Oreochromis niloticus: one gene and its partner. The protein of the gene in region 1 purifies or fractionates together with the protein of each later gene. This does not show direct contact. Links are inferred from orthologs where the notes say so. Each region holds a gene or a part of one and is shown in the gene's direction. Other genes may lie near its edges. The genes, in order: ess2 and fra10ac1.

Evidence for each region.
Region 2: the proteins of ess2 (region 1) and fra10ac1 purify together in Homo sapiens (co-immunoprecipitation; 3 studies listed by BioGRID and IntAct, counting the BioPlex papers as one, with this or other methods). This does not show direct contact. The link is inferred for Oreochromis niloticus from reciprocal best matches to the Homo sapiens genes ESS2 and FRA10AC1.

What each region holds. Positions count from the first base shown.
Region 1 is NC_031972.2:22,310,410-22,322,680, forward strand, and holds the start of ess2 (splicing factor ESS-2 homolog), read left to right. Parts: upstream 1-4,794; 5' UTR 4,795-5,047; coding exon 5,048-5,194; intron 5,195-9,323; coding exon 9,324-9,492; intron 9,493-9,614; coding exon 9,615-9,698; intron 9,699-11,457; coding exon 11,458-11,627; intron 11,628-12,271. Other genes in the region: homeobox protein goosecoid-2, read left to right, coding at 3,127-3,343, 3,425-3,660, 3,799-3,879. UniProt on the Homo sapiens protein: May be involved in pre-mRNA splicing.
Region 2 is NC_031973.2:14,960,507-14,972,777, reverse strand, and holds the start of fra10ac1 (protein FRA10AC1), read left to right. Parts: upstream 1-5,480; 5' UTR 5,481-5,559; coding exon 5,560-5,577; intron 5,578-7,718; coding exon 7,719-7,798; intron 7,799-8,044; coding exon 8,045-8,137; intron 8,138-8,362; coding exon 8,363-8,408; intron 8,409-8,580; coding exon 8,581-8,657; intron 8,658-8,846; coding exon 8,847-8,930; intron 8,931-9,077; coding exon 9,078-9,162; intron 9,163-10,972; coding exon 10,973-11,018; intron 11,019-12,271. Other genes in the region: lgi1b (leucine-rich glioma-inactivated protein 1b), read right to left, coding at 104-175, 731-802, 3,400-3,471, 3,564-3,814. UniProt on the Homo sapiens protein: May be involved in pre-mRNA splicing.

The sequences.
Region 1 (12,271 bases):
CACAGGGTTCATCTGCCTCCATCTCACCATCTCCCCAGCGTCCTCCTCTGTCACACCAACCCTCTGCACTTCCTGCTTCACTACATCCATGAATCTTCTCTATGGTTTTTCTCTTTTCCTCCTGCCTAGCAGCTTCATCTTCAAAACCCTTTGTCCTTTACATCCACTATCCCTCCTCTCCAAATGTCCAAACCATCTCAACCTTGCCTCTATAACTCCCATTGACAATCTTAGCATCCAGCTCTTCCACCTTCAGATCCACCTCCTGTCTTACTGTTAGTGCCATCGTCTCTGAACCATGCATCACAGGAGGTCTCACTATTGTCTAGTCATCCTCTCATTATTGCTGCTATCCTTCTGTCACAAATCACCCCTAACACTCGTCTCCTCTCAGTCCACCCTCCTGCACTCTCTTCTTCACCTCTGTTGTGCTCTGTCCACTGGTTTGGATGACTGAGCCCAGGTACAGCCTGATATTTCACCTTCACCACCTCTCCTCCTTGCATCTTCACTGTTACACTCATCTTCCTCTCACTGACACACATATTCTGTTTTGCTTCTTCACCTTAACTCTCTTCACTTTTTTTGTGTATTTCCATCTCTGTCCTTAATCACCCTGACCATCAGTTCAATCTCTCACGAGTCCTTTTCTCCTTCCTTAGCGTCCAGCCTCAAATATAACTCATTAAAAGCCTTTTTCTTGTCTCTTTGCTGCTATACGCCTAGCCTCCTGGTACCCCTGCCTCCTCTCTTCATCTCTTCGATTATCCCACTTTTTCTTTGCCAACTTCTTCCTTTAAATACTTTCCTGTATTTTCACAACCCAGTCTCTTGCTTTTCTGCCCAGAGGATACAGCAAAAGCCTTCTTGCCTGTTTCCTTCAGTACTTTAACAGTTATCTGTTGTCTGCACAACATTCTACTTTTTTCAACCTCCACTGTTTAATCCTTGCCTCTGCTTTCACTTGCTTCCTCTTTTTGATTTCCAAAGCCATCCTACAGACTACTATCTGATGCTGTGTAGATACATCCTCCCCGGACTTGCACCTTCTGCACTGGAGATAGTCAACCTGTCCACCTGTGTATCCTGTTCCACTCTGCGTCACTCCTCACAGGCTTTTTGCATCTACCTTTCTTCTTTCAATCACATGAGCCATATTACCCTTTCCCAGTCATAGTCTTCACATTTAAAGATTATACTGTCAGCTCCACACGTCTGCATTTCCTTATTTGCCTACTTTGTTTTGAGGAAACAGTTGCATAGCTTCCCTCGTCACTCCCTATCTTTTCTAACTTATTCAATACTGAAACCTTATTGATCCAAATGAATTGAAAAGAGGTTTTACATCAGATGCTTTCTGACAAAAACCTCATCATTTATCTGAGCTAGGGAGCCACACTAGGAGTACACTGGCATGCCCTGTCATTTTAAATTAAACCCCCACAATACAACACAGTAAGAAATCAAAGTATAAATGATCCATAAGATGACGATGCTCATTTTAAACATAGCCCAAAATGATATGAGGGATAGCAGATATGATCAATATGATCATTTGGGGCAAACAGAAACCCATCTGGTGTTTAAACCTTCTGTTCACGAGGGGCAGCCAATCAGAAGAACGTTGACAGAGGTGCTGTCCATTTTAAGGTAAAAATGATTATTTTGAACAGTTATTCATTCACAGCTACCTTCTAATACCATACCACTTATTTATAAAGCACTTTTAAAAATGCATTGTACAATTCATGTGATTTTCATTGTAATAAATCCCAGCATATCAAGAAAGACTTTTCCTTAAGACAAAGAGTTTTATACTATTTTTGAGTCTCCTAAAAATGCAGAAAAGAATTCATCTGCCACCCGTCAGCTGTGGTTCTTTTCTCTTTTACTCCTTGTACCAAATATTGCTTACAACGATAAAATGGATCTTTATTGTTGTAATCCCCTGTAATGAATTTTGAACTGTTTGAACCAACATGGATATGGTACAATTCCTTCTATTGAGAACCACAATAACTGCAGATAGGGATCTCACTTTCTCCGCAAACTATACATCAACAATCTGGATGCTATTAAACCCGAGTGAAAAGGATGAGATGGTGTTTATTGTTATCTGTTTTCAAAAAGCGCTTATAAAGGGAGCTTAGAACAGATTGTGGAAATCCATTAATTCTTTGGGAGGGGGGAAAAAAAGGTGTATTGCCTTGTATGAAATCACAGGATTTGTCGGGGTTGGAGGTGGTGGTGGGGGGGCTGAATTTAACCTGTAATAGCTTTACCTCAGCCGTGCACATTGTCAGAAAAGTCAGACTGAAAAGACTGCAGCACAAAGATAAGACACATGATGCACGATCGTGAATACAAACCACTGGGATGGATCCATTTCTCCGAATTTTCTCTCGCTGTGTGCAAACATACAGATCCATCAGTGTCACCATACATAACTGACACGGGCCAAATGAGTCACCCCGTCATCTGCAGCTCCCTAATCACTTTGTAATCACTTTAAGTGTGCATTGTTGTTGACAGTGTAGCCGCAGCTTATGTAAATAAATATACCAATTTATGCAGGATCGTTTGTTGACAGAGCTAAACGCGGAAGCGACATTATGAAGTGAATTTGAAGAACTAATCCTCAGATTCAGCATACACAAGTCTGTGGCCACACCAAGAACGCTCATCTTTAAATCCAGGTTTCTAATACCAAGAAATCCCCTTTCCTCTAAAACCTTAACAATAAGGATCTTAGGAGCTCTCCACTTCTCATTTTATGCAGTGAAATCTGATTTCTTTTGAAGAAAGGAATGAGGCAAGATTAACTGAATCTGCCGTCCTCCCTAACCTCTTCACAAAACTGCCCAGATTAGCAAGGAATTAGGTTTCAACCGTTTTTATGTGACTGGTCCATAGGGGGGGATTATAGTTTTACTTTTTTTTTTCTTTTTTTTGGCCTCCCAATTTCACTATAAGGGCTTGACACGCTCCTGTAGAGAGAAGAAGGAGAAGGAGAAGAGCAACTGAGGCTCGAAGAGTGCTCTGTGTGTGTGTGTCACAATATCCTGTGATCACCACTGCTTTTGAGCTTTCACTGGAACTTCTTTGGAGGTGGAAGGACTGATCAGGATGGAGAGGCAGAAGTTTCCCTTTACTATTGAGAACATCCTGAAGTATCCAAGCAGCAGTGGAGATAAACGGTCCTACGGAGCGAGTGGTCTTGGCTTAAAAGAGAAGACGGTGAGTCCTGCTGGAGGCCAAACAGAGGCGGTTCATCATGCCTGCCTGTGCTGCTGCTACTGCTCCCACTGTGCTGACATACTCCAGCCTGACTTCATCCACGAAGGTAGGACCACACCTTCTGCTTTTGTCTGTGGTTGAGCTTGATTCTGCTCCCCCAACCTTAAATCAGACCCCCTCCCTGCAGCTTGTCAGTATGGCTGGAACCCAGCAATCCTCTCAGATTCGTGCAGGCTGGGAGACACTCACAGGGAGGAGCAGTCACCCACTCAGCTGCAGAGGCGAACCCGGCGTCACCGGACCATTTTCACCGAGGAACAGCTGGATGCACTGGAGGAGCTGTTCCTGCAGAACCAGTACCCAGACGTGAACACAAGAGAGAAACTCGCACAGCGCACTCACTTAAGAGAAGAGAGAGTGGAGGTAACACAGCAGCATCACATAATTGTTTTTATTAAATATGATGGTATGCTAATAATGTAAATGTGAATAAAAACTGTTGTAGATACTGAATTTAATAAAATGACAGCTCAACAATGTTGCCTCTTTTCTGTCAATCAGGTTTGGTTTAAAAACAGAAGAGCCAAGTGGAGACGTCAGAAAAGACTTTCATTTGTTGTGGGAAACACAGAAAAAAACTAAAAAAAAAAAGTTTGCATGGCTCTGTGTGATCCAATCAAAATAATTTGCATATATGTAACATATAATTCTTATATGTAACCATACATGTAAAATCCTGGCATGTATTGACACTATTACTGTAAGTAAAACCTTGAATTTGTAAATGGGTTGTTGTAGTTTGCACAGACTGTTAAAAAAGTGTCCTTGAGAAAAAATACAGTTGTCGGGGGTTTTTTTAAGAAAAGAATAAATGCCTTTTTTGGGCCACCCATAGAAAACGCACCTAACTTTTTTTTTTTTTTTTAACCCAATTTGAATAGAATTTTAAAGCCTAACTTTATCAATTTCTTTAGCATTTCTTTGTCAAACAAGCGACCAGGGAGTCAGAACTAGCCCGCCAAAGAGTCCAGCATGGCTCAGTGAATGGTTTGCTATATCTGAAAATTACAATGAAGTCATTAATATGTTTAATATGTCTAATATCAATTTTCCCACAAAATGTTGTTCGTTTCTGGTGATGACAGGCATGAAAATGTTTCAAAAGTTTAAATTACTTCTGACTAATTGTTTACACTGTAAATAAATATATAAAAAATTATTAAACTGTTAGGCACTAAAAACTCCACATGTGAAGGTCTTGTAAAGCCACTGTGAGACAGGACACTATAGTTTGTCTTCTGTACTGTAAATGGAGCGTAAGTCTATAAAGCCTTTTTAAAAAATTATATATATAAATATATATATATATATATATATAGATAGATAGATATAGATATATATATATAGATATATATAGAGAGAGATATATAGATATAGATATAGATATATAATTTATATATTATATATAATTTTTTATTATTTATTTATTTATTTATTTATTTAAGTTGAGGTCTGCGAACTATCAAACCGCTTTCAAGGTTTATTTTGGAAAATTCTAGAGAAGTCGTAAATTTCCGGTGACGTAATCATTCGGGCTGTGCGTTGTTTGTACGCTGGTGGCTAAAAGTCAGCTTATGTGTTATAGTTGGTGGCGTTGGGCATTTTTAAGTGTCGGGTTTTTACGTTGTTGGTTAACTTTTTAAACGGTGTTAATCCACTGAAAGAAACATCCTCTAATAGCTTAATTTTCGTCGCTATTTGTAGTAGAAGATTATTTAGCCATCCGGCTAGGAGGCTAACAGGGTCCACAATGGAGGGCAGCGCCAGCGTGAGGAAAGCACTGTCCGGGACTCTCGTCCCTTTGGCGATCTCAACAGTGGCTCTTCAACAGCAACCAGAGGATAAGGATAAGGGAACACTGAAGAGAAAAGTCCTGGATGAGGAGGACTACATTGAGGTAAATAATAGCAGACATAGACAGGCACGACTGTTAGCTAACAACTGTAAGTTAGCAGGCAGGTAATGTACAACACAGCTAAATTTCTTTAGACTAAAGACTTTATTGTACTAGTCTGGACAGACATAGAAGTGTATAACAGCTCCAAATATTATGCAGTCAGTGTGGAAAAAGTGTTTACATATAAAATCTACATATAGGTTTAAAGTAAGATGCTTGTTACGACAGTACTTCACGATATGAAAGTGCAATAGCAAATTGCTCAAGTAAGGATTAAGTTACTAAAGTTACATGAATGCCATGGTAATGGCATGCATATACCCCGAAAATATTTGGTTAAATATTGTTTAACAAGTTGCACCACGACGAGACACTTAAGTAGCTATCAAAAAGCCCTAAATAAATCTAGCTGGATATTGGATCACTCTTCTTAGAAGAATTGTTAGAGTTCATTTAAACTGATTTGGTTCCTGGCACAGACGTGGCTTTAAGCGTAGTCCACAAGTTTTACAAATTTTCTTGTGTTGGAGCACACAGCCCATTGCCACAATGCCTCCAGAGGGTCTTTTAATAATGCTACTGTTTCACACAGTGGGGCAGTCAGACCGCAGGGTCTCTTGATGGGACCTAGATGGCCATCAAGGATCTGGTTCTCCACACTCCTCAGTCTGGTGAGTGGGGTCCTGTGTGTCTGTATACTGAGGCAACTCAGAGTTTAAGCTCAGAGCAGGGCTATATATGTTATATTGGGAAGAAAAAGGGAACAGCTCTGCCCAAACAGAGCTTTCCCACCGGATTGTTGACACAGTAAAACAGACGTACAAATAGTCTCTTCAGATATTAGTTGTCACACTACCAGGAACATTGCCTGGGCAGTAATTCGAGGTGTTCCATGAGGGGAAATCTGTGCAGCAGAATCCTGGGCAGTGCCTTACACGTTTGCTAAAGTCACCTGACTTAATCCGGTCTCAGGACCCACTCGAGCTTCAACTATTCTGCCATTGGCTGACCAGCAAGTTTTTCCTCATGACACTGCTAGTATAAGTCATCTTCATTGTTTACTGCAACTTCTGTAGGCAGGAGGGAAAGAAACCTAATTAAAGTTACAAAAGTTACCACAGTTCTGTGAACTCCCAGATAACTGCCAGTCATGCAGTTCACTTGGAGAATCTCAGTGCAAGAACATTTATAGAGATCAGATGTAGGGTACCGGGGGGTACTTATAGTGTACACGCGTAGGTAGCCTACAGGTCACACAGTTGACTTTGTTTATATGTTTATATGAAATCTCAACCAAGAAGACATAGCTGCATTGTTTATTGTCACTGGCAGTCTTCTGGGAATTCACAGAACCATAATTACCTTCGTAACTTCTGTTTGGAAACCTCACCTTTAGTCCTCCAAACGTAACTCTTGACATTATGGCCAGTTAGCTCAAACTTTGTCACTTCTGACCATAAAACCTTTCTCCAGAAGGCATTTGGCTTCTCCATGTGGGCAGCAACAAATTTAAGTCGAGTTTTTAAAGGTATCGATTTTAGAGCAGGGGCTTCTTTCTTGGTCAGCACCCACTTGGTCCACAGTGAACGGTAAAACTTTTTTTTTTTTTTTTTCTTCAGCAGTTTTCAGTTCATGGCTGGTTTTATGCCTTGGTGGTTACAGGGTTGTTCCTGAACAGCCTAACCAATTTCCTGTCATCTGAGGTTGACAGTTTGGATTTTTTCTCAAGACCTCGGCAAAGTGGTGACACATCTGTTAATCTTTTAGAATAGAATAGAATAATCCTTTAATTGTCCCACAAGGGGAAATTTGGTTGTATCAGCAGCAAAAAAAAACACGCATATACAAACAGAACAGGACACACAGAACCGAAGCACAATTTTTACATATTTACATCATGGACAATAGTTACCAGAGCAGAGTACAGTACAGTTGTTTAAATTAGCGTACACATAGTGTGCAAACATAGCAGGATACTGAAAGATGTTTAAATAGTTAAGAATATTTAGAATAATTAGAAAAGTGCAGATTGTTTATTGTACCCGTGCATTAAAAAGTAAACATGTAACTTTCAATAAGTTAGTGTATATATAAGCTGAGAAAAGTAATGTGCAGTTATAACAGTAAAAGTTGTTACAGCGCTGATGTAAACATCTGCGTTTGTTGGGAGCAGTTCTGATTGTACAGTCTGACAGCTGCAGGGAGGAAGGACCTGCGGAAACGCTCCTTCATGCATCTAGGATGCAGCAGTCTGTCACTGAAGCAGCTCTGCAGTTCAGCAACGTTTACATGCATGGGGTGGGAGACTCTGTCCATCAGAGATGTTATTTTGGCCAGAGTCCTTCTGTCTCCCACCACCTGCACTGGGTCCAGGGTGCATCCCAGAACAGAGCTGGCCTTCCTGATGAGTTTGTCCAACCTCTTCCTCTCAGCTGCCGATAAACCGCTGCTCCAACATACCACACTGTAAAAAATGACAGATGCCACCACAGAGTCATAGAACGTCTTTAAAAGCGCTCCCTGGACTCCAAATGACCTCAGCCGCCTCAGCAGGTAGAGTCTGCGCTGACCCTTCCTGTAAAGAGCATCAGTGTTGTGGCTCCAGTCCAGTTTATTATTCAGGTGAACACCCAGGTACCTATAAGAGTCCACTATCTCAATGTCCACTCCCTGGATGTTCACCGGTGTCAGTGTGGTGGGTCTGCGTCTCCGGAAGTCCACCACCAACTCCTTGGTTTTCCCGGCGTTGATCAGCAGGTGGTTCTGCTGACACCAGTCCACAAAGTCCAGAGTCCACTGTCTGTACTCTGAGTCGTCCTCACCTGTGATGAGGCCGACTATGGCAGAGTCGTCAGAGAACTTCTGTAGGTGGCAGCGTGGGGAGTTGATGGAGAAGTCTGCAGTGTAGAGGGTGAAGAGGAACGGTGCCAGCACAGTTCCCTGTGGGGCCCCCGTACTGCAGACCAGCGTGTCAGAGACACAGCCCTGTGACCTCACATACTGTGGACGTTCTGTGAGGTAGTCCAGTATCCACTGGGACATGTGGTGGTCCACTCCTGATAGCTCCAGCTTGTCTCTCAGAAGTCGTGGCTGGATGGTGTTGAAAGCACTGGAGAAATCAAAGAACATGATCCTCACAGTGCTTCCAGGTTTCTCCAGGTGAGTCAGAGCTCGGTGCAGGAGGTAGATGATGGCGTCCTCCACCCCGATGCCAGGCTGGTAAGCAAACTGCAGCGGATCCAATGAAGACCTCACCAGGGAGCGCAGATGGTTTAGAACCAACCTCTCGAGGGTCTTCATCAGATGCGATGTCAGGGCTACCGGCCTGTAGCTGCTGAGGTCCTTGGAATGGGAGGTCTTTGGTACCGGTACCACACAGGAGGTCTTCCACAGCTGTGGTACTTTCCCCAGTGACAGGCTCAGGTTGAACAGATAAACTAGGATGTCACACAGTTCATCTGCGCAGCATCTCAGGAGCCTGGAGCTGACGCCATCATTTTACATACAGTTATTTCAACTGATGATCTTGTAATTTGCAGTTGTTTAGATATGGCTTCAAGAGATCTTCCCAACTTGTGTAAATCTAAAATTCTCATTCTTAGATCTTCATTGGGTTCATTGGACCTTCCCATTGTTCTGAGTATTGGTCAATCCACTGACTACAGTCAAACAAATCCTTTCTATGCTGGCGAAGAGAAAATACCAGTTGTAGTCAGTCGTGATCAGTTACACAAGGTTTTGTCCTTGCCGTGTCCTTGCCCTTGTTTTGGCTTTGTTAAACCTTTAGCAATACTCAAACGATTTAAGTCAGTGTGTATATATTGAACCTGTATACATAAATGTAACCCTGTTTGGATTAGAGAAAATCTAAAGTGAATTCAAATGTGTACACTCTTGTTTTGTTGTTGTTGTTGTTTTTTTAATTCATTAAAGATGTATACTGTACAGTAATTGCACCATGGAAATAAACTATTCAAAGAAACAATTAAGACTAAAATTACCATGACATCCATGCCCATGATGAGTGTACGTAAACATCTGAACACATCTCTATGTGCCATAAGCCCATATTTCCTGGTAATATGTCCTCTGTATTAACCTTCTGCCTGTGTTTGGTTTTTGTTGACAGAGCTTAGAGAAAATTATCCAGAGGGACTTTTTCCCAGATGTGACAAAGCTGCAGGCACAGAAGGAATATCTTGAAGCAGAGGAAAATGGAGACCTGGAGAGGATGAGAGAAATTTCCATCCGATATGGATCTTCGTTGACAAAATCTACACCACAGTCTTCTGCACCATGTGAGTGAAGTGGAATTAAATAAGACATTTTGTGTTCTCCAAGTAAAATACTGATAAAATACTTGAATTCAACAGGTGTTTTTTCTCATTGAAATTTTTTCTTTCTCTTCTGTTTGTGTAAGATGTGACGCCTGCTAGCTTTGAAACACCAGTGGGCCGGTCGGGATCCCCTGCTTCCACTTATTCTGCTAAAGCTGTAGATGGAGGTAAGTAAGCAGGGTGATGAACACATAACGTCATGCAATAAATATGTAATTTGTTAAAGCTTCACATCCACGTCTCGCTGTTAATCCCTCTTTTGACATTTACAGTGGGGCAAAAAAGTATTTAGTCAACCACCGATTGTGCAAGTGCCCCCACCTAAAATGATGACAGAGGCCAGTAATTTGCACCAGAGGTACACGTCAACTGTGAGAGACAGAATGTGAAAAAAAAATCCATGAATACACATGGTAGGATTTGTAAAGAATTTATTCGTAAATCAGGGTGGCAAATAAGTATTTGGTCAATAACCAAAATACAACTCAATACTTTGTAACATAACCTTTGTTGGCAATAACAGAGGTCAAACGTTTACTATAGGTCTTTACCAGGTTTGCACACACAGTAGCTGGTATTTTGGCCCATTCCTCCATGCAGATCTTCTCGAGAGCAGTGATGTTTTGGGGCTGTCGCCGAGCAACACGGACTTTCAACTCCCGCCACAGATTTTCTATGGGGTTGAGGTCTGGAGACTGGCTAGGCCACTCCAGGACTTTCAAATGCTTCTTACGGAGCCACTCCTTTGTTGCCCGGGCAGTGTGTTTTGGATCATTGTCATGTTGGAAGACCCAGCCGCGTTTCATCTTCAAAGTTCTCACTGATGGAAGGAGGTTTTGGCTCAAAATCTCACGATACATGGCCCCATTCATTCTGTCCTTAACACGGATCAGTCGTCCTGTCCCCTTGGCAGAAAAACAGCCCCATAGCATGATGTTTCCACCCCCATGCTTCACAGTAGGTATGGTGTTCTTGGGATGCAACTCAGTATTCTTCGTCCTCCAAACACGACGAGTTGAGTTTATACCAAAAAGTTCTACTTTGGTTTCATCTGACCACATGACATTCTCCCAATCCTCTGCTGTATCATCCATGTGCTCTCTGGCAAACTTCAGACGGGCCTGGACATGCACTGGCTTCAGCAGCGGAACACGTCTGGCACTGCGGGATCTGATTCCCTGCCGTTTTAGTGTGTTACTGATGGTGACTTTTGTTACTTTGGTCCCAGCTCTCTGCAGGTCATTCACCAGGTCCCCCCGTGTGGTTCTGGGATCTTTGCTCACCGTTCTCATGATCATTTTGACCCCACGGGATGAGATCTTGCGTGGAGCCCCAGATCGTGGGAGATTATCAGTGGTCTTGTATGTCTTCCATTTTCTGATGATTGCTCCCACAGTTGATTTTTTCACACCAAGCTGCTTGCCTATTGTAGATTCACTCTTCCCAGCCTGGTGCTGGTCTACAATACTTTTCCTGGTGTCCTTCGAGAGCTCTTTGGTCTTGGCCATGGCGGAGTTTGGAGTCTGACTGTTTGAGGCTGTGGACAGGTGTCTTTTATACAGATGATGAGTTCGAACAGGTGCCATTCATACAGGTAACGAGTGGGGGACAGAAAAGCGTCTTACAGAAGACGTTACAGGTCTGTGGGAGCCAGAGATTTTCCATGTTTGAGGTGACCAAATACTTATTTGCCACCCTGATTTACGAATAAATTCTTTACAAATCCTACCATGTGTATTCATGGATTTTTTTTTTTTCACATTCTGTCTCTCACAGTTGACGTGTACCTCTGGTGCAAATTACTGGCCTCTGTCATCATTTTAGGTGGGGGCACTTGCACAATCGGTGGCTGACTAAATACTTTTTTGCCCCACTGTATATGCTTTCCCATATTGTATACTCTTCTTCTTCTTTTTTTCTTTCTAGAGAAGAGGGCTGACGACACAGAAGAAAAAACTCTGCCCAGCCTGGACCACTTCCTCGCTAAGAATACCAGTGAGGATAATGCATCTTTTGAACAGATAATGGATCTGGCAAAAGACAAGGAGAAACTGAAGCATGCCTGGTTGTATGAGGCTGAGGCTGAATTCAAACAGGTATGGATGGTTAGCTGTGTAAATGCAGGTGTGCTGATCTGTTTTCTGGGGCTTTCATATGTTCATGAGTAAACTACATTGCTGAAATTGTTTTCTGCCTGTGGTATTTTTGGTAGACTGATGTTGTAGCTTATCCTCGCCTGAAAACTACTACTCGGGTGGTTTCTCATAAGGGACACTTAATCTTCTTTGTAGTGTCAATTTATCACAAAAACTTGTAAAACTATTTAAATCATTGCATTAGTTTCCCACAGACGTAAACTCATAATTTGTGGCTGTGTGGAACACATATATTAGGGATGACCATTTAAACTAGAATTGTTATTCACCAAAAACTGGAAACTGTTTTTCTGAGATTTCTCACTCTAGCTTTACCTGGTGGAGTTTGCTGTGAACCAGATTTTTTTTTTTTGTTTTTGGCTCTGCGTGTTTCCCCTGTTTTATATAGTAGCATCTAATCTGACTGTGCCACGTGCCAGCAAATGGAAGCTAATGTGTTGCTTCTTCTATTTGCTCATCGCATGGTGGTCAGCTAACAGTTTGTAGGACCATTAATACTACTTCCTTCTGGTAGAGGTGCATTATATATTCACTTAGTATATATACTAACTAATTATATACTAACTAATTAAATTACACTCAGG
Region 2 (12,271 bases), on another chromosome or scaffold:
GACTATTCCCTGGACAGGGATTAAGGAGAAGAGAAGTAAAGACAGGAGGAAGAAAGAGGATAACAAGAACTGAGTTAAAGTTTTTTCAAACCAAAATACTTACAGATGTACTAGTGCTTTCAGGCCCCGGAAAGCATATGGGGATATTTCAGCAATTTTGTTGTTTTCAATAAATCTGTGAATGAGAAGCAGAATGAATGAGAGTAATTCATGAAATCCTACACACAATGAATACTGAAATCTATTGTGATCCTGTAAGATGAACGCCATAGCTTCCTGGGTGTTCTCTGTGATGATGAGATGTTTACTGCAATCAAGCTATTGAGGGTTTTACATGATGGCTAAGGCTTGTAAAACACTGGGAAAACATGTCAAAGTAAATTATACAGTAAACACATTCAAAATGCAAACAAATGTTTTCAGCCATTTAAGACAATTTGACTTAAGCTGTGGTTGCAGTTGGATGGAGCACCCAAACAGGGAACATTAGTGTAAACATGCTTATGGGGAAAGCCTCATTGTTCAGATAGATTTATATGCCATCATGTAACCAAGCATGCACTACAGTAAGGTTTTGAGTGCAATATTTCCGCACAGGTTCACATAGTGCTGTTATTAAAAAGCATGTGCCTCGTATTTGTTTAATACAAAAAATATGCAATTATGATACAGTCTTTCATACAACAGTAAGCAAATGTTTTCTGCACATGAATTAAAAACAGTTACTTACAGGTATTCAAGATGTGGTAAACCTTGAAATGCATCCTCATCGATCAGATCAAATGAGTTTGCTGTGAACAATCTGTGAAGGAAAAACAAACCAAAAAACGACTTAAAAAATTAGATAGATAGATAGATAGATAGATAGATAGATAGATAGATAGATAGATAGATAGATGGATGGATGGATGGATGGATGGATGGATGGATGAGATAGATAGATAGATAGATAGATAGATAGATAGATAGATAGATAGATAGATAGATAGATAGATAGATAGATAGATATTATTTCTCATAAGAATAGGATGAAAATCTGGTATTACTTTTCTGCATTCATACTTCCATAGATTTTTGACAACACCGCTGGCTGAAATCCAACTCCAAACCACGACAGTCTTTTACAGACAGTTTCAAACACTCACATTGTACCTCTCTCCTGACCTCCTCCATACATGAATAGAGATGAATGAAATATTTCAAATTTAGATCCATCACTCCATAACACGGATCGCTGCGGATTTTCAGTCCATTTCTTGTGTAATTTGGCATACCTGAACCTTTTTCTGTTTCCCTATGAAATGCTCTTGACAGCCACCCTTCCACTGATGACATTTCTGATGAGGCTTCAGTGAACAGTAGAGGGATCAACTGAAGGGCCAGATGCATTTTTCAGGTCTTCGCTGAATTTCTTCCTTTTTTTGACATAACTTTCAGACACTATTCATCTACTTTTTTTGGGGGGGGGGGTTGCCTTGTGCTTTTGTACTTGTACTTTTGTTGTCCACTTTCCTCAGTTACGTAAAGGACACACTGCACAGTTTGCTGAGATATGCCAAGTTTTCAGCTAATAGCTCTTTGCTGGATCAAAAATATTATTTTATGCCTGTCAAACAGTGTTATCTTTGGCATTTTTCATAGATTCAACTAAAGAAAAGGAAACAAATTATGCACTTTTGTGGCAGGCTAGTATAACAGTGCCTAAAATGCAATTTAAAAGTAGCTCAACAACAAAAGAAACATTCCTCTGAAAATGGTCAGGTAGAACAACTGGATTGAAAATGAGTGAAAAAGCAGCCAATGTCCAACGTAAACTTTTGAAAGGTCTTCAGAAAGCCTGGAAAACTGTTGCTGAAGACCACTTTAAAAATTATAAAGATATTAGATAAAGTCTGGTTCTTTGGAAGCAAAATATAAAGGATGGAAGCGTTTAGACTAATGCAAATTGCCATATTTAAAGCAACTGTACATAGATTTTTCTTAACAGCTGGTTGTTTGTGTTTTACAACTTAACTGAGATGAACTTCAAGAAGATATTGATTTGTGTGGGCTGTGAACAATAAGAAAATGTGGTCATGGATGTTTACGTAATGTCAGTGGCAGTAAGTCTATTGCAAAAAGCAGAGAAACTGGATGGGGGACTGGGATACTGTAATAGACAACAGACTCATTCAACATTTCTACCCACTGTGTATGTGGTCAATGAATGACTCAGATTAAACAGAGAAACAGCCACTCACTCCTACATATTTCTCATAAGAAATGGCAAAGAATCAATATTCTTACCCCCCCCCCCTCCCTCCCACTTGTTTCTGAGTCACTTTTTAAATAACTAACATAAGAATCGTGTCCATCGGCAACATATTGTACACCTCATCTCCACCAGATTATTAAGGGTTTTCGTTTATTATTAAGCTGGCATTTGGTTACTGTACAGAGTGGCTCTATTCTTTTAAATATTGAACAAAAGTACCATCAATATTATTTATTATATCAAGCTTGAAATATTACAATCCTAAGATGTTAAAGTTTTTAAAATGAGGAAGCCAGTGACCCTGACATTTGGCTAATGCAGACTACAAAAAAATGCCACTGATCAAGCATGCCTTAATGGAGGTTAAGATGCTTCAAGTCACCTTTGCAGGGAATAATAACAGATGAGGCAGTGCACTTATTCACTCATCTTCAGTTACCTCCCTCCTAACGGTCACAAGCTCAGTCTTCAGATACGTGATGCTACGTCCTCCTACATTTGAGGCTTCATGCACATTTAGCCTTGACTTCACTGTCATCTGAGAGAATGAAGGAACCGGTGCCAGGAAAGCTAGACTGACGCTTGACAGCATGTTATTATGTGCGGCGTAGAGTACAGTTAAGTCTGACCTTGCTGTTAATTTGCGGATTTGCAAGAACGCATTTGCTCAATAGGCTCAAGTCCTGTCAAGATACTAAATAATGAAGGCCATTAATCAACAGCACTGTTAAGAGAAGGTGAACACTCGTGTGCAAGCCTGTTATTTGACTACAGCTTAGGGCTGAATTCTTCAGGAGAATTAGAGAACATGCTCATTGTTTATCTCAGCCACCCTGTTTCTAGGGAAGACACACACACACACACACACACTGTTCCTCTTGCTGTTAGTTGCTGTAGCCATGTGGTCTATTGCATAATCCAGACACCATTACAGAGAATCCCCCTTTAAAGCTGAGTCTAAACCTGTGTGCAAGTCGCCTGTTAAGACACAACCTTACTTTTAAATCAAGGAAGCAGTGAGACAGACAGACAGACATAAATTATAAATGGACAGATAGATAAATAGGCAGACAGATTGACAGATACACAAACAGATAGATTGATAGATGCGTAGATAAATAGATAGATTAAAAGCTATTACTCACAGCAGGTGTAGGGTAGGTGTGTGCGCAAAGCTTCCTCCAGTAATTTCATTAAATCCAGACTTGACAAAAGATCTGATTAAAAGGAGAAACAAATCAAAGTGCAAATATGACACAGAATGTAATCAGCTTTCTGACACTTCACCACTTCATGCAGCATCACTTACAGTGAAACGACGTCGGATGGGAAAGTGTGGGGCACAGATCGGACACTCTCACACAGTGCATTATCTTTTGTGCAGGTGCATCCGTGGGGGCATCTGGGCTGCCTCACTCTCCGTCCGTCAGCTAAAGCCAAGCTGACAACAACGACCCAAACCAAGAACGTCCATCCTTTCCGTCTTCTCCATCCCCTCACTGCTCTGCTCGGGTATCCCATTCCTTCTGTCCCGAGCCGAGTACTTCCACTCACGCACATGCAACTTACAAGCAAAATCTGCGACGTGTAAAGCCAATCGGGAAATATTAATTTGACGCTTTCAGTTTGTTTGATCGTTTTGCTTTTTAAAGCCGAGGTCCTCTGTCTTGTTTGCTTTTAATGATAGAGCGCTCTGAGGCAGTCTTCTATGCTTCTAGCGTCTCAATAGGAAGGCACCAGTCCAGTGGATTTGTTCTGCAAGGGGCAGGATTACAAATGCGGGGCAGATGGGACATAATAGCAGAAAACATCTCAGATTTTTGTCATGCCTAAGTAAAAGGCAAGGCTAAAAATCAGGCTTTTTGGAGTTGTCCCGTAGCCTAAAGGCTGTGCTAAAAGAAAAGACAAAAAAAGAAGAAGAAGAAGATGCCCTTAGAGAGAGAAAGCGAGCGGAAGAAAGAACGAAAGAAAGAAAGAGAGATGGAGGGGGGAGAGGGTGAGAGAGGCCCCAAGGTGCGCTATTTTATCAGCGGTGCCAGCTATTATTTATGCGCGCTTCAGAGCCGTGCATGGCTAATGGGGGAGCAGCTATTCATGAGGCTCTCTGTGCAAATGCACCTGCCCCACTCATTCAAATGCTGCCTCTTTTCTTCCCTTCTCTGGCATAATAATGACATTAAATGTGAAAAGACGACGGGCATAATATACGGTTAAAAATACATCAAAAAGACTACTCAATCAGATATTGGTGCATAAGAAATGGCTGGTAAAGTCTGATCTCCAGACTATCATTACACAGGGGAAAAAAAATGTAGAGCAGTGTTTTATATTATGTTCATTAAAATGAATGTCGTGGAATAGCATACACGGGGAAACATATCATAGGGTTTCATGAATAAAATATTTTCAAATAAAAATTTCCATCCGTTTGGATTGCGTGGTTTTTAAACTCGTTTTAAATCCTTATTAAAAACAGATGTGTTTGCCTGACATGTATGTAAAAAGCCTTTTATGTTGTTTATCCAAATGGATGAATATGTGTGGTTAAATAGCTAATAGGACGACATATTTTTTCAGTAATAAATGATGAGAGCTGTGCCGTTTCTTTCCCAGATGAGGTCCTTTGATGGGTTCGGTGGGTTACATGGGAAGTCAGGGAACACTGCATTTTTGTTCCCGGACTGGCTGTGTCAGCCTTTCACCCCGACCATATCTCATAACCCCGAGTCCGAATTAAACTCAAAACATTCACACGGTACAATGCCCTCTTTATTTTCAGTCCACAATTCAAATACATCCTCCAGTGTCCCTCGGCGGAAGTGAACGATATGAATCAATTGCTGGTTGATCCGTGTAACTGGGCCATTTGTTCTAAAATGAATGTCGATGCTCGATGTTGTACTGCACCCCCCTTTCATCCCCAATAGATTATTCATTTCACCTGGTGACGCTGACTTGCCCCCTGATAAATGGGTAATTAGATAAATTAGATGATGGACGAACTGATAAATTAGAAAATAATTAGATGCCCGATTAAAGAAACTGTTATCAGCCAATTACACTTACACAAAATTAGACTTTAGAGTCTAGTTACTGACTACAAACCAATGTAAGCTTTAATATCATAAAAAAAAGAGGAAATGATAAATTATTCTTGGACTTATTTCTTAATCTTTCTCAGATTCTTCTAAATATAATTCATGTCTGTCTGCGTCATCATACCGCGACTTACTTCTTACGTCATCACATGGCGATTACATTTTGTAAACAGTCAGCGGCAGTTCGCAGGGGGAAAAAAAGAAGCCATGGATGATCTTGTGAAGGTAAACTTTTTATACATGTGATAAAGGTAAACTTTTTATATATGTGATAAAGTCGCGTCTCTTCTTTTGCAAACAAGACTGTGAGGACGTGTTCGCGTATTTGTTAGCAGCCCGTTATTCCCCTCACAGATAGGTATGTCGGTGATGCCTGCTAACGCCGTGTTGGTTCCTGACTGCTTCACTGGTTACAGTCAGGGATGAGCGGTGTCTGTGGCGCGTGACAGGTCCAAAGCGGTCAAAGCACGAGCTAAAGCGCGTGCCTGTGTGAAATTCACAGCAGTCAGAGTCGTCGTGCACCTGTTACCGTGTCATAGCTCGTTTCTGATGACGGGACCTCCAAAATATCTCACTTTGTTCACTATTTCATCCACCATTGAGCACTTGCTCTGCCACACTGAGTAAGGGAAAGCTGCTGCTATAGTCTCTCGTTGTAACAGTTACTCCAATTGTCTTCTTTTAGCCAGACATTTGGTGACTTTGAGAGATAAATTACACAATTTTTTTTTTCTTTTACATCATTAAAATGTAATTTCCGATTTCTGGGTTTGTTCTATGGCTAATATCGTTGCTTATATTGATAAGTAGGCTGCAGCCAAAAGGATTTCTGAAGGGGTTACATATAGCATAAAGAAATTACCTGTTTTGAAAGTATTTTTATGACTGCATTATTGTACCAACCTTTTGTTCAACATTATGTATTATCGATACAGACCGTTCTGGCCACTTTAAATGTCTTTATAGAGGTATTTTGTTATATTTGTTGCACTTTTATTGCTACACCCAAGGCAGGATCTTTCTTGACAAACACATTTTTAATGTTAAGGAAACTTTTCACGTGGATAAATAAAGGCTATATAAAATTTACATTTCCAAATATTGATTGCAGCTTCTACTTGTCACAGGAATGTTATTTCTGTGTAGAAATGACTTGATATCATCGAGCTGTGCAGACATGTTTGACAGATTACAGGCCAACCGGATATTATTTTTTTCAGCAGACGATCACTTTTGGGGCAAGACACTGGGTCAAATTCATCCCATATCCATTAAGATGGACTTTTAGATCAACCAGTGTTGGTTAAATAAATGAAGAGATGATTTTATGGAAGCTTGAAACATTCATGAGACGTGAGAACTGTCTGTGTTCCCACCAAATTTGCTCCACTTCCAGCGGAGGCTGGCACTTGTGGAATAAAATAGAATGGGATCATTCTAGTTTTTATGTTTTCATGTCTTAAGTATATTGGACAATTAGCATAGCATAGCATAGCATCTTTATTTATAACGCACTTTACATCCAACAATGTTGACCAAAGTGCTACAAATATAAAACAGTGACAATAGATGCTTTTCTCCAAAAAGCAGTATTGTAAATACCTTAAAACCTAACAATAAAATCACTCTCCTACTCTCTGTTTATTCACGTCAGACAGGAAACTTGTCGACACTTTTTATGAAGGAATGCTTGGCCCGAGAATAAATTGACCTGGATCAAATTATAAAGGCATAGAATATGTTCTAGTTAACTTAAACCTGACCTGTTATGCTTCCCGTTTTCTTTCTTTTCTGTTATATTTATACCCTTACAGTATTAAACATGATTAATGTTTGAAAGAATGAGGTGAGACTGCTGCAGCCGAGTTTCTGTTTTATTTTTTCCCCCCACCTTTGGGTCTCTATGGTGTGAAAGTGAGGAGCCATCTATAATATAATATGGTTGATTTAAGCAAATAGGAGCTCAATCCAGCTGCTGTTTAAACCCTTTCTTTATCGACAATCAAAAGAAAGTTGACTTAAACTGATGAGACTGAGAGTCTGTTTTGTTTCAGACAGAGAAAGCACTGATCAGAGGAAATATGCAAAAATGCCCTCCCTCATTCAGAAATGCACCCTTTAATGGTTTTATATATATATGTATATGTGTGCAGCAGATGTTAATACATAGTGTCATGTTTACTATAAGATCAGTCATTACCCTATTCGTGTCACACGTTGCAATACATGTCTCACAGTTAGGATGTACAGTGCAAGTGTACGCATGCATTTTTATCTAATATGCCTAATTTTGCCAGAAAGTGTGTGGGTAAGTGCAACATGTATCATCAGATATGATTCACAAATCACTTCCTGTGTTTCCTCAGGTTCATGGGGGCGGCGGTTATGACTCTGACTTCAGTGATGAAGATGGACAGGGAGAGTCCTCACAGAGAGGCCTTAAAAGGTCAAATGAAGGCTAAAGAATTACGTAGGCTAATTGATACTTTTTCGCGTTATTCACATTTGGCTCAACCGAACTCCTGGTACTGTATCTGTGCTGACCAAATGAGATGGGATTGTACAAACGATAATAGGAGTAAACACAAGTGTTTTTAATCCATTTTCTTCACTAGTTTACATTTACACTGGTGTGGGTAGACATCTCCATCCACTAACACAAGCTTTCTGCTATTATGTGTACCTTCTACAGGAAACATGAGGAGGAAATCTTACAGAAGCCGTTTCAGAAAGGTCGCCACTCCAAGGTGGCTCACCGCAGCTCGCACTCAAATGAAGTGGACAGGTATGGTGACTAATAGCAGATCGAAGAAGTGCTAATGGTTTTTAGCTGCACGCGTTTTACCGATGCACACTACAGTTAATGTCACTTCTTATGGGCCAATCTGATTAAATGCTCTCAGTGGATTGTTTTTTCTTTGCAAGCTATCACACATTATCTTGTTTTGTTTTTTTGTCTTTTTTTGATAAAAATGCATCACTTATATTTATATTTTTTTGTTTTGTTTAGAGAAGAAGCCCGGAACAGACGAGCCCACCTGATATCGATGAACGCTGTATCCTTTCTTCATTTATCATTTCTTTCGGCTGTGAGTAGACGATGAAGAGGCTGATGAAACGTAACTTTTTAAGATATTAAAATGTGATGCGGTAGGAAATTTTAGGCTGTGTTTACAGTTGCAAAAGTTAACATTGAACAACAGAATGACCTTAAGCAGATGTCTCCAGTTTGAGCGGCACAAGAAGTTTGTCGGTGATTACATACTGTACTACGGAGGACAGATGGTTGACTTCAAGCGCTCAGCGTGAGTAATCTTACTCACAGTCAACTCTGGGGAACAGTCAGCTGCTGTCACTCCAGGCAAAATAATGACAATATGTCTATACATCACTGCAATCCAGTTAATCATTTCATTAAAAGTGATAGTTGCAGAAGTTGTTTTTCGGTTTTTGCGCGCTCATAAACTTTGTCATTTTACATTTATTCCCCGTAGAGCCAAGGACAAAACAGATCTAGACGTGCTGCGTGAAAACCATCGTTTTCTCTGGAGGGATGAGGACGAGGAGGACATGACATGGTGATCAACTTAGTGGCATCAGTAATAATGAATTAGTTTTTTACCTGTTCAGTTCTCTTCTTAAAAGTCTATATGTTACACTAGAAGTCAGTTAATGATGTGTGTGCTGATTTTCTTAGTTGCTTGTGGGGGTTTTTTCTGTTGCAGGGAAAAAGAATTGGCCAGAAAGTATTATGACAAGCTGTTTAAAGAATACTGCATAGCTGACCTCAGCAGATACAAGGAAAACAAGGTGAGAGAAATGGAAATATAATTGATTTCTTACCAATTTTTAAACAGTAATACAGCTTATATAAAGCAGTTTCTGTAGTATGATATGATAGCATTTTTGAATATTTGAAAGCATTTAAAAATTGTCATATAAAAAAGCCAGTTTCACACAAGGTGCAGGAATTAAAACCTTAAATTACGGTTCGAATGAAGGTAGCACTTCATGATATCATTCTTAATAAATTAAACATTTATAGTTAAATACACTTTAGTATAAAGTTGATAGAAAGTGAATGTTGATGTTGGCTAATCATGCGTAATATTCATGTTACCTATGTAGACTTATGTAGTATTATTTATTGCATTATATCAAAGAATGGATTATAATTACAGTCTGACAACTTAAGCACACATCACATTTACTATACTTTAGTAAACTACATGTGTCAGTTATTGCCAAAAGGTAATGCTTGTGGTTTTGTACTAAAGTTTAATTCGTGATCAGTGAGCCCATCCTCATTACTGAGGTCCCATGTTTAGCCCCCTATAACGTGACTTAGTAACACACTTGGGCAATTATTTTTACTGTAGCCTCCATGGGTTGCTGCTTGTTTGTGAGTCTCTCTGCGTTCAGCTTTATCTTCATTAAACTGAAAAACATGCTGCATTGAGTGGAGATCAGATGAAACTCACGGGGTGCTTTTGCACCATACTTTGGGTCATTATCCATTTGTACTGTGAAGCACTGTCAAAGCCATCTTCTGTGGGTCTTTCAGGCTTTTTAGTGTTGTTGAGCTGTCCACTACTCCTAAACTTTCTGCTGTCCCTCTGATAGGTTTATGTCATTTTTTGTCAATTAAAATAAGTCTACAGATCAGTCGCATCTTGATTGTTTGATTTCAAATCCACGCTAGTGGTATACAGAGTCAAAACTACTAACATAATGAACCAATTTCTAAGTCCTAGAAATCGATTTATCACTTACGCACCTACATGTGCTATAAGATAACATTACGGTGCCCGTAGGCACCTCAGCAATCAGCGTTACCAGGACCTGCTCCAGTATTCCAAAAAAGATTACACTAATTATCCCTGCGGTGTTGCCATGTGTAAAGGTTAATATTACCTAAGTCTCACTAATCTCCATAATAGCGAGCCCATTTTAGCCTGAAGTTGGGGGTATGATGTGTTCTGGCGCTCTGCTCTGTCTCCAGTGATCGCTGAGCCTTTTTGGAGCGAGGCCAACGTTTAAAACTGATGAAAAGTGGCACACGTGTGGCCCAGCTCAGTATCTCCTGCATTTGTGCTGATGAGTTTTCTGTGCACAGATCTCTTTTACGCTTACACCTCCGACATGGAGCACAATACAGAATACCTGGTATTATCTATGTTTATTGGAGGCACTGTAGGTAAATTGAAACATTTCAATTTAAAAAGTCGAAGCCGCTAAACACTAAAAAGGTTGTGCACCTGATTTATTCACTAGTTATTCTAGAACGCCTACGAATAAAAATATAAAGGGCGAGTTGCAGTACTTCGGGTCAAAAGGACACCACTTACTATAGATGTGTTTACATGAACAAGTTAATGTGCATGCACAGCATTTAATAATAAGAGTGCATGGGTGAATAAACACAAATATATGCAGTCCTTATATTATCAGTTCTTTTTCTGATCCAACTGCCTTTGAAAACTAATAAGCATTAAAAGGTGGGGCAAACACAGCTATGGCTTGCAGGCTATATGCATGACAAAGTGATCTGATGCATTAGTCGGTTTCGTGTATATGATTTTGCTCATTTATGCTCATTTAAAAAATCTGTGCCCAACAGTTTGGATTTCGATGGCGGACAGAGAATGAAGTTGTCTCTGGAAAAGGTATGGCATACACCTGTTATATGCTTGCATGTTCCTGCTAATGTTGCTGTATCGAGCACTTACAGTTTGATCTGTAGTGGGAATAAGGAAGAGAATAAGCTGGAAAACAGCCTGGAGAGGTGGAGGTATGCTCTGGGGAGAGGAGGGATGCAAAGCAGTTGAAGCAACACAGAATAGATGTGTGTGTGTGTGTGAATGAGGAGGAGACAGGTGCAACAATGATGCTGCAAGGAGCAAAGGTAGTGAAGGTAGAATAAATTACCTGGGGTCAACCATCCAAAATAATGCAGAGCTCACAGGGTGGAGTGGGTGGAGATGAGTGTCAGGGGTAATTTGTGACAGAAGGAAGAACGAGAGGGAGAAAGAAGCCAAGCTAGAGATGCTTATATTTTTAAATGGGAGTGATCAGGATGGACAAGATTAGAAATTAGGTACTTTATATTGTAAGGTAAAGACCCTACAATAATACAGTAATACACAATATTAATAATAAACCCCAATAATCAGACTACCCCCTTTGAACAAGGCGACGGTGGGACGGGAAACACTCCCTCTTAACAGGAAGAAACCTCCAGCAGAACCAGGCTGAGGGAGGGGAAGCCATCTGCCACGACTGGTTGCGTGAGGGGAGGAAGACAGGAAAGGCAGCATGTAGGACATGCAGGGGGTGGTGGTGATAGGGGGGAGGGAGGAAGATGATCTGCTGTGATGACCCCTAAGGGGAGAAGTGATCTTAAATTGCAGTAAAAAGCATACTTGTTGAGCAAAGAGATCCGATTTAATCAAGAGGCTGGAACTGAATCCTTATTACATAATATTCTATGTAATGCTGACATAAAGTCCGGATTCAGAAAGCTGTTGGAAAACGGGATATTTTAATTTCTGTTTGTGTTTTGCTTGCGGTGCTGCTCTAAATTCACATTTTAGTGAACCTCAGTGAACCATAGTAAAGTGGGATTATAGCTTTCTCACCCACACCTCACAACCTTCTCCACTAGATGGAGACAGAGATAAAGACAAGTCACACAGCAGTACATCACCTATGATTGGTGCTTCCCCTCAGGAGTCTCTCCACATGTCAGGCTCTTTAAAAAAAGATGCCTGCTGCAATTTGGTTTGACTTTATGGCTCTCCAGAATGGCGTCATAAATCTTTAAACGATTTGACCTTTCATCTGAATTTTCTTTCCGTGTTTGCTTGTGGCTTCCCATCTTAAGCAGCCACGGATTAATCTGTCCATTGATACCCAACAC